Danio rerio: one gene and its partner. Each later gene encodes a partner of the first gene's protein in a complex. Links are inferred from orthologs where the notes say so. Each region holds a gene or a part of one and is shown on either strand. Other genes may lie near its edges.

What was found. Proteins that work in one complex are often made in the same cells at the same time.
Region 2: cnot6l (region 1) and cnot2 share a complex: the UniProt entries of both Homo sapiens proteins name them as parts of the CCR4-NOT complex. The link is inferred for Danio rerio from reciprocal best matches to the Homo sapiens genes CNOT6L and CNOT2.

What each region holds. Positions count from the first base shown.
Region 1 is NC_133180.1:39,704,674-39,709,424, forward strand, and holds part of cnot6l (CCR4-NOT transcription complex subunit 6-like), read right to left. Parts: coding exon 4,675-4,751; intron 3,353-4,674; coding exon 3,150-3,352; intron 1-3,149. UniProt on the Homo sapiens protein: Has 3'-5' poly(A) exoribonuclease activity for synthetic poly(A) RNA substrate.
Region 2 is NC_133200.1:31,061,271-31,066,021, reverse strand, and holds part of cnot2 (CCR4-NOT transcription complex subunit 2), read right to left. Parts: intron 2,863-4,751; coding exon 2,790-2,862; intron 2,674-2,789; coding exon 2,523-2,673; intron 1-2,522. UniProt on the Homo sapiens protein: Component of the CCR4-NOT complex which is one of the major cellular mRNA deadenylases and is linked to various cellular processes including bulk mRNA degradation, miRNA-mediated repression, translational repression during translational initiation and general transcription regulation.

The sequences.
Region 1 (4,751 bases):
TGCATATATTTATGCATTGACCATGTCTTTTTAAACAGGATTACTACAGCAGATATCTTGCCTTTTAATCACATCAAGCACTCCTTGGGCCACGGGTGCAAAGAATATTCCACCTTCAAATGGTGCATGATAGTGACCCTCAAATCCTATTTGACTTTTTCTTTATTGCTATTAACCATTCCAATTGGTTGCAATGATTTATGAAAACATGCACTGAAAATTGACATTTCTGTTGCCAAGTGAAATGTTGTGCAGTAAAGGATTAATTCATTTAAATGTGTAACAAATGCAATTTTTAAAACTCAACAACAGTTGTCACTTTTAAGGTATGTACTAATGACCGTTTTTTTGCCATGTGTCAACAAAGTGTAACAAAAGAAAAAACAAACTTTCCCTGATTTTCTAGATTGTCAAAGAAAGCACATTCTGATTTTTATGTGAATGATTCAGGATGTTGCCAAGAAAACCAAAAGGACGTGACATTTACACACGCTCACTCTTTTCCATTCTGACACATTAAACGAATGCTTATTTGTTCAAGAGAATTCCGTCAGAGCTATTATTTGTACTTAAATGTCACTGTGTCATGCAAAAAAAGATATTTCTTCAAACTTTAATTTTGAATTAATTATTGAATAAATTATAAATTGTAAATAGTCTCAAATATAGGTCACTTTAAAATCTATTTAAAAGTCTTTTTAGGCCTCTTATATTATGCCTCTTTTTACAATTTTTGGTGTTCCTAAAATGTGTCTGTGAAGTTTCAGCTTAAAATACCTGTCAGACCATTTGAAAATGTCAGTTTTTGGGTCAGAGCTGTTTGGTGTCTTTGGCTTTAACTGCAAATAAGCAGTTTCTCCTGTAATGAAAGTAGAATGCAGGGTTTGGGCATGTCTGCCTAGCGACACGAAACTGATACTGATTCTGATGAAGCAGAGACCTAGTCACAAATACCAAAACTAGAACTGAATCAGAAAGTTTTTGAATGTTTTCAGAAGTTTTTTGATGTACTTTATAATTATTTGATGTGGCCTTTTTTGCAACGATAAATGGGCCACATACTGTACAAATGCACACACTTTTCTTTACAAAAAACATTTTAGAAGCTCCAAGAACATTATTGTGTGCCATAAAACTGTAAAAAATACTTTTGTTTGCCTTTGCTCATTCGTTCTTTGTTCTGTTTCACATCAGTTCAGGGTGTGCACTTGCTACAGGCAGTCTGATATATTGTCATTTTAGTCAGCAGAGCAACACAATAACATTTTATTGGTCATATTAAATGCAAACACTAATCTAAAATGGAAAACACTGATAAAAAGCAAGTTGTTTTTACTCTTTTTTTTTTTTGTGCGAATAAAGGTGTTATTGGAACTGTGCATGATTTTAGTTTAACCACTGAAGTCACATGGAATATTTTGACAGCATTTTGGGGTCTTTTTCTGGACTTTGAATGCCTGACTACGGCTGTCTGTGGAGGATGAAGGAAGCTCATTTGTGTTCAGAAGATGAGTGAAGGTCTCAGGCTATTGACACTTATTAATATTAGAAATTAAATTTTGGGTGTCACGGTGGCGCAGTGGGTAGCACGATCGCCTCACAGCAAGAAGGTTGTTGGTTTGAGCACCAGCTGGGTCACTTTGCAACTCTGTGTGAAGCTTGCATGTTCGCCCAGTGTTCGCGTGAGTTTCCTCCGGGTGCTCCAGTTTCCCCCACAGTCCATAGACATGCGCATTAGGTCAACTGAACAAGCTAAATCGGCTGTAGTGTGTGTGAGTGTGAAACAGTGTGTATGGGTGTTTCCCTGTGTTAGGTTGCAGCTAGAAGGTCATCCACTGTGTAAAACATATGCTAGATAAGTTGGCGGTTCATTCGGCTGTGGCGACCCCTGATTATGAAAGGGACTAAGCCAAAAAGAAAATGAATGAATTAAAAATCTAACCCTTTAAGTCTGAATGAGTGGAAAGTGAAGTAATAAGGGTTTCTGAAATCAATATTCCTTAGACACATGCTAGTGTAATTCACAGGGTGAAGTAAGTTGAATTTTTAAATCAGAAGATTTTTTTTAACTTTGCATATAATGTATGCACAATCTGCATATGCACTTGACTGTTTTGAGCCACTTAGATTGTCAATGAGGTGTTAAACTGAACCAGAACATTGATTTACAGCCGGAAAAGAAACAGAGATGACTAAACTAGACTAGAAACACATATAACTATAAGATTAAAATATATAACTCTATTTTAAATTAGCACAACTCTAGTTTTATCCCTTGAAGTCCACGTGAAATCGAAATTTACAATGTATATTTTGTTAGCACACATTCTTATTCTTTAGGTGAACAATAAATCTGTGCAAGATAATCGACTAAAACAATTTTGTTTTGGTAATCTTCAAAGTCTAAACATTTGCTTCCACATTTAAAGTGGCATTCATTTTTTGTTGATTGTAGCTATTGATAACCAAACCCCTATTACCGTTAGTTTACGAAGAGAGAATAATGAGTAAAAAGAAAACCCTGACCCCTACTCAACAATCCATCTTAGTCGGAAGTACAGTGACTTCCTGAAATAGAAGTCTTAGCAACTTCTGGTTCACTCTGACTTAAAACTTTTAAAAAGCAGATACTGGACAAGGATTAATCTTTCTAATGTGCACGGGTTTCCTCATGCAAGCATGTAACATGCCAACACCCTATTTTAATTCATTATTATAACAAAGGCAGTCACACTTTAATAACAAATGACACCCACAAGACAATCCACCAATCAACACATCTCAAAATAATTAGCTAAATGAGTTGGCTTTTGAATCAGACACCATCACTGAATCATTACTTATTCTCCTGGTCATGAACCGACAGTCATTTTTTGATTATGTCATTTCAATATTAACAAATGTAAATTTATTATCATGTATATACAGTGCATCATGTGAGACCTACATCATCATATTTACCAACAAGATAATCATATGATCATAAATGATTCATCTTCGCAGCAAAGCTTTGTTGAAACAAATAAAAGAACAAAAATGGCGATGTAAAGAAAGCAAGCATGAAAATCCTAAATCTCATGTTGAAACAGATGGCTCCCATAATATTTTGATTGAGATTCATTTTGATTCTGAAAAAAAAATCTCCTCACCTTGAAGTCATAAGTGTAGTTGGTGTAGGGCATGAGATTCCCCTCATAGGCACTCTTCAGCTGGAAACTGTGTGTGATACTGCCATCAGGCTTGCCGTTTTTGCCATTGCAGCTGAAGTTAGTTAAACAGTCGCTGTAGCGCAGTTCTTTAAAGTCTTTGTGATTTTCTGCAACTCCGCCATTGCTCAGATACTCCACCACACCTGCAAGAAAGAGGTCAGGAAAACGAGTGATTCTGAGACAAGAGCTTCTAATCTGAAGCAAAAAATAAAATTGGCTGTTTTTTGACATTCAAAAGATAGTTCACCCCCAAATTAACATTACAAAGCTATAGGTAGTTTTCTGCAACATATTTATAACATGTATGACATGTTATTTTCTATTTTTTTAATTTAATGGAAGTCAAAAATTTGGTTATCAACATTCTTTAAAAAATCTTCTTTTATATTCTTGCAGAAGAAGGAAACTTCAAAAATTTAAACATGTCAGTAAGATTTTTGGGTGAATTATTACTTTAATTTGGTAGCAGGCGAATTCAGTAAGCTTTGTTTATTTGATCCAATTGTAAGGAACAAAAAGGCTAATCAACAGCCACCCACTCTGTAAGTGCAATTTTATGGCTTGCTGAAATATATTAATGTCTTAGATTAGTCTTAACAAAAACTGTAAACAGTAAAGAGACAAATTTACTAACAGCTTGCTTCAATGCTAACTGTCTTTTTAGTTTTACCAAACACACACAGCAGAGAGAAATATCTCTGAAAAGGCACTGACACAGTTACTTTTTTTTAAAATATACATTTGTAAGAGTTTCCCAATTAGACACAAAATTTATAGGATGAAAGTGTTTAAATGTATAGCGCATTGCAATTTAACAACATTTGTGCTTCTCACATTAGATATTTGCGTCATTATTTAATGACTAAAAATATAAATATCACACTTGAAATGGCTACAGTTGTTGTTACCAGGAGAAGACAATACAGGGAACACAGAGCGCATGGTATAAGACTTTTTTTACCCCACACATATTTATTTTGGAATGCCAAAGGAATACAATCGCTCAAATATACTGTTTGCCAAATATGCTATTTTGAATTTGTTTTAAGAAATAAGAGACTACTGGGAAGTAACATCTGAGTCACACAATACCAGCATGATCATGGTTCCCTAAGACAATGTGCAATGTGTTCTCTTTGTGCCTGAAAAGCATGCATCAGATATACTGTAGCTAGTTGTAAGTAAAAATAAAAAGTGCCTTGTGGTCACTCACATTCCTGTCTATTTTGTGAGCATGTCCATTCTTTGACCAGTAAATTTTTTTAGTAAATATTTGGCACAAGGAAATTTGCCACTATTCTAATTTGCACTGTCAATATGTAAATGAGATGTTATATCTTTGTTCTCTAATTGTAGATTCAGTGCTGTTTTGCAATAATGCTCTTGCGTAAAATTGCCCTACTTGGTAAATCTGGCCCAAACATTCCAATTTATTTTCAACATGCACCTTTTAAATATGACTTACCAGAATCTGGGAGGGAGTTGAGATCAGCACACAGGACGATAGGGATAGAGCTTGTTTCTGATGTGGGTGAAGAAGAG
Region 2 (4,751 bases), on another chromosome or scaffold:
GCGGTTATATCACTGTGTTTTATGGATATGTAATAGGCAAACGGCTATATGAACAGAAAATTATGAGTAGGGCGGGAAGTTTTGCAAGTCTCCAGATGCCCGCAAATGAATGATAATCTCCCGGTAATCTCGTGTCTCCCTCTCGGTCCTCAAAAAGGCTACGTCGTGCACCCTTCTCACCCTCTCCTCACTCTTTACACACGTCGCGCGCACCTTGTCAAACACCACCAAACCACCACCTCTCCTGACAGCTGAGCGGGACTGCAAAATAAACCCTGACACTCTGACCAATGTGAGGAGAGTTTACTCTCACATGACTTGTTTTAGCTCTTTTGGTCCGATTAGAAACTTTGCAGTGTGAAAGCGAACCGCACCAAGAGCAAAGAGCAACAATGTAACATTTGTAATCTCTATTTCGGAACAACTGAATCGATTCACAGGTGTGAAAGCACCCTCAGACACTTTTAAAAGCTGTCATTCATTCATTTCTTCTCACAATACTCAAGGTCTTGGTCTCTTTTTTGTCTCTTGTTTATCCTCATAGCATCCATGTGGGATAAAAGAACAGCATCTTAACTTTGTCTTTCGTGAAATGGAGTTGCCGTTTTAAGTAATGAATAGTAAATCGGACTCATTTAAAGTAGCTTGACTGTGCAAAAAAAAAAAAACATGCATGTTACATAAGGGTGTCACGATCCTCCAAATCCTCGATTCGATTACATTTTCGATTCTAAAGGCACGATTCGATTCGATTTTCGATTATGAATAATTAATTAATTAATGACCAATCATCATTTAATCATTTGTAGCCTACCGTTTAAACTACCTGACCTGCATGGTCTTTGTTTTACCCATAAACAAATCATACAGTAAATGAATAAAGGCAAGATACACACATAATTACCACTCGTCAATCACTTTTTCTGCGGGACTCGTGAATAGGCAGTGATCTGTGTCGTTATAATGGCGTCGGTAAAAAAGACGCACAACCAACAGGAACCAGCCAACAGTATCTGAGGTGTTCGCTAAAATGACTAAGTACAAGTGAGTGAAAGATTGAAGCAGTCCTCTGACTGCCTGGACCTGCTGTCTCGAGCGCATGGCTGTGTGTGCGTCTGTGTCTGTGTGGTCACGTGATGTGCATTTTCAGAGGTAGAGAGAAAGGAGGGCTGCTCAGAAATGCTACACGCCACTGTGGATGTCAAATCGTTGTCGTTCTAAAATGCCATTTAAAACCAAAGACAGTGTAAACAGGGCCTGAGTGTGTACTTTTCGCGAGCGGATTTGCAATGGGGGCGGGCGGAGGATCGCGATGCCGGTGTTGTCTATCGGACGAACCGTACGTAATACGTACACAGCAGAGCTTGCAAAACTGTGGGTTTTTTTGTCGACAACACGAACGTTGTCAACATAACTCCCTGGAAATCCAAAATGCTTAAACACCGGCGATTTCATTGAAAGAGGAGAGGGTTTAAGTTTTCTCGACGGGTCTCCTGCTTCTGCAGTTTAACAAGCACTTCAACAAGCCTGTTTTTTTTCCCGCTTGGCAAGCCAAGCTGACATGGGGGGGTGTGGGAGCATCGACGATTCTATTTTTTGATTCGATAATCGAATTTGAGCATAAATTTTGATCGATTTCGATTAAAAATCGAAATCGTGACACCCCTAATGTTACAGTTTTAAGGTAAAGGAAGTTTTCATTTGCCATTCACTGACAATCAGAGAGGCTCATGTTGTTCATCAAACTCCATCTTTTAATATTTAAAGCGGAAGCCGGCGTATCAGCAAACCATAACACTGAAAACATACGACTCGATTAGCACCTTCTGATTCTTGGGATTTTGGGACAAAAAAATCTGCTTTTGCTGTCAAAGTCAAGTGCTGTTTAGAAGCTTTTGCCAACAAACTGTTATTTCTGAATGGGTAGATGTTGGGATTTAGATGAATTGAAGCAAACATATTTGTTGCATATGTCATCAGCTCATTTTTGGCAGAAGTGGCGTTCAGCAGCTTTTACATCTGAACTCTTCATTATATTTATATAATTATAACAATAATAATTTATTTTCTGAAAATAAATGTTTCACACTTGGCACAACAATGCAAAGCATTATGGCTACTCAATTCATACAAGCAAATTTAATTAATTAAATAACTGAATTTCCGTTGAATGCAAACATTAACTATTGTTTTCAAAATTTAACCAATATAATCAATTGAAATATAATCAAGCATACAGATATCTTTAACAAATATCCATGAGTCCTATATGAGTTTCTTTCTAATGTTAAACACAAGAGACGGTATATTTATAGCATTGAAAACCAAAAGCCACTGACATCCATAATAGGGAAAAAAAGTGGCAGTTTAGAACAAAAACTTCTACTTTTGTGTTCAACAGAAAGAAAGAACCTCAAACCAGTTTGGAACAAGTGGAGAGTGAGCAAATGATGACAGAATGGTCATTTTTTAAATATCAGGTCATTCCACACAATATAATTCATGTAGAAGAGATTGTTTACCTGTTCGGCGAAGGTGGTGTTGTGTGGAGGGACATTGTTGGGACGCCTGTCGTTGGGGTGCTATGGCTCGGTAACTGAGTGCCTTGTGTTAAACTCCGGTTCAATTGAGGGTTGTTGTTGCTCATGCCCCTTATTGAGAATCCTAGTGCACCTACAAATTGAAATAAACGCTGATTACATGCCAATTACAAACAGAGTGATTTACATTTTTATGAACTGAATAATAGCTCAGGCGTGATGTCATTTGGATCACAGACAAGTACTCACTTTGAGGACCGTACAAACTTGCACCAAGCTGTGACAATTGACCTGACGATGACGGCGAGGGAGACGGCAGCATCTGAAAACGAGATAAGTCAAATTAAAGAGTTAAAATTAAAATAAATGTATTGTAAAGCTTTATATATTCTATATATTTGTATATTCTAATGTTTACATGCTGCTAAAAAAATTAAAAACTGATGCATTTTTTTACAGAACTCTTTTAAGATTCAGATAAAAAACAAACCAGTATTTACTTTAAATAACTTTTGTAACAATCTAAATACTTTAACTGTCACTTGTGATAAATATAAAGCAACTTTGCTGAATAAAATAATTAACTGGGTCAGTTAAAATTAAATCATTTACTCTTAATTATTTGAGAGCAAAACAAGATATGATTGTGACCAGCTTAGTGTTCATTTAATTTTTAAATGCATTTCTCTCTATTTAACTTGCTGACAAACAAAATAAGATTTTTAGTGCTAATACAAGATTAAAAACTAATAATTATATGGACAATTAGATGTTTATTTGATGCTTTTACTGTGTATTTTATCACTGTATGCTGCATTTAGAAAAATCTGAAATAAAATGTCACAATTTGCCATTTGGTTCTCATAAAACAGCTAAAGTTCAGTGTTTTCAGAAAACAAAATGCCATTTGTACCATCAACATGCATAATTATGCCATCATTTGTCTCTACCGCCATTCATTATTGACATGCTCCAACAGCAATGACAAGTCATCTTTATGTAAAAGTCCAACTTCAAAAATGTGGAAAGATTACTTTAAGCTAGTTTTCATGAGTGTTCAAACACAATCATTGTGACATTCAGTATAGTCTCGTTTCAGTATGCATTAGCAGTTCTGAGTGATTTCTGTTTATGATCATAGTGAGTGACAAAATAAGTACACATTAGGTCAAAAATGACTAATAAGATTTTGTTTGTGCTAAAAATAAAAACAATAATTGTAAATATATTTTCGGTAGTAGGTTTAAAGAAGATGTTGGCATGCAAATGCAATTCTAACAATGTAACATTTTTCATATTATCAGATCTGGAAAAAAAATGCATTTTGGATTGAACTGCACAATATATCATGTCAGCATCGATATCGCAATGTGATCATTCCCAATGTTAAGTCTGGATTATAATTTACCATTTCGCAAGTATTTTTTTGAGGCCTGTGATTGTGTAAGGGTTTTAAAAGCATTCAGGCCCAAGAAATTGTAACAAATTAGTAACTATTTAATTGTTTAAAAACAAAGACTGTGCAGTACTATTTTACATTTGATTAATCAATTACTGTATACCAGAATTGAGTTTGACTTGTCAGAAAACAATCAAATGCTGTTTATTTAATTGGTATCTTTTTCTTAATTGAATTCATCTAGGCTTGTAGATATTTTATACATATACACTTCCTTTTTTTCTGCTACATTCATTCTTCCATGGGGGGAGCCACAGCAAAATGCATCCTGCCACAGCTACATTACAGCTTATCATTCAAAACATTCATTCATTGTTGTTGTTGTTGTTGTTTTTAATAGCGTGTTATTATTGCACCAAAATGTATTAAAAAGTAAGTGAATTATAACAGCGCAAACTTTTCTGTAACCATAGCAGTGCGGTGCGTTATTTGTTAAACCCTTTGCTGACTGACTGACCAGTGCGGGATGCGTAAAGCCAGCAAACACTGCGTAGCTTTTAGTTAAGATGAACACAGTTTTCATAATTAAACTTTATTTATAGATAAAGGTCTGTGGTTCTGCATGCAATGACTTTATCTTGCTGGAGTTTATAGCCGATTTACTTTACTTCAGGACACATTAATGCTGCTCTGTTAGAAATTAGATTAATAAATTAATGATTAAATTAATTAATAAGAAATTAATAAATATTCCTAGCAAATCTAATAAATGTTGGGAGACATACTAAATGGGAGCACTAAATTGCATTTCA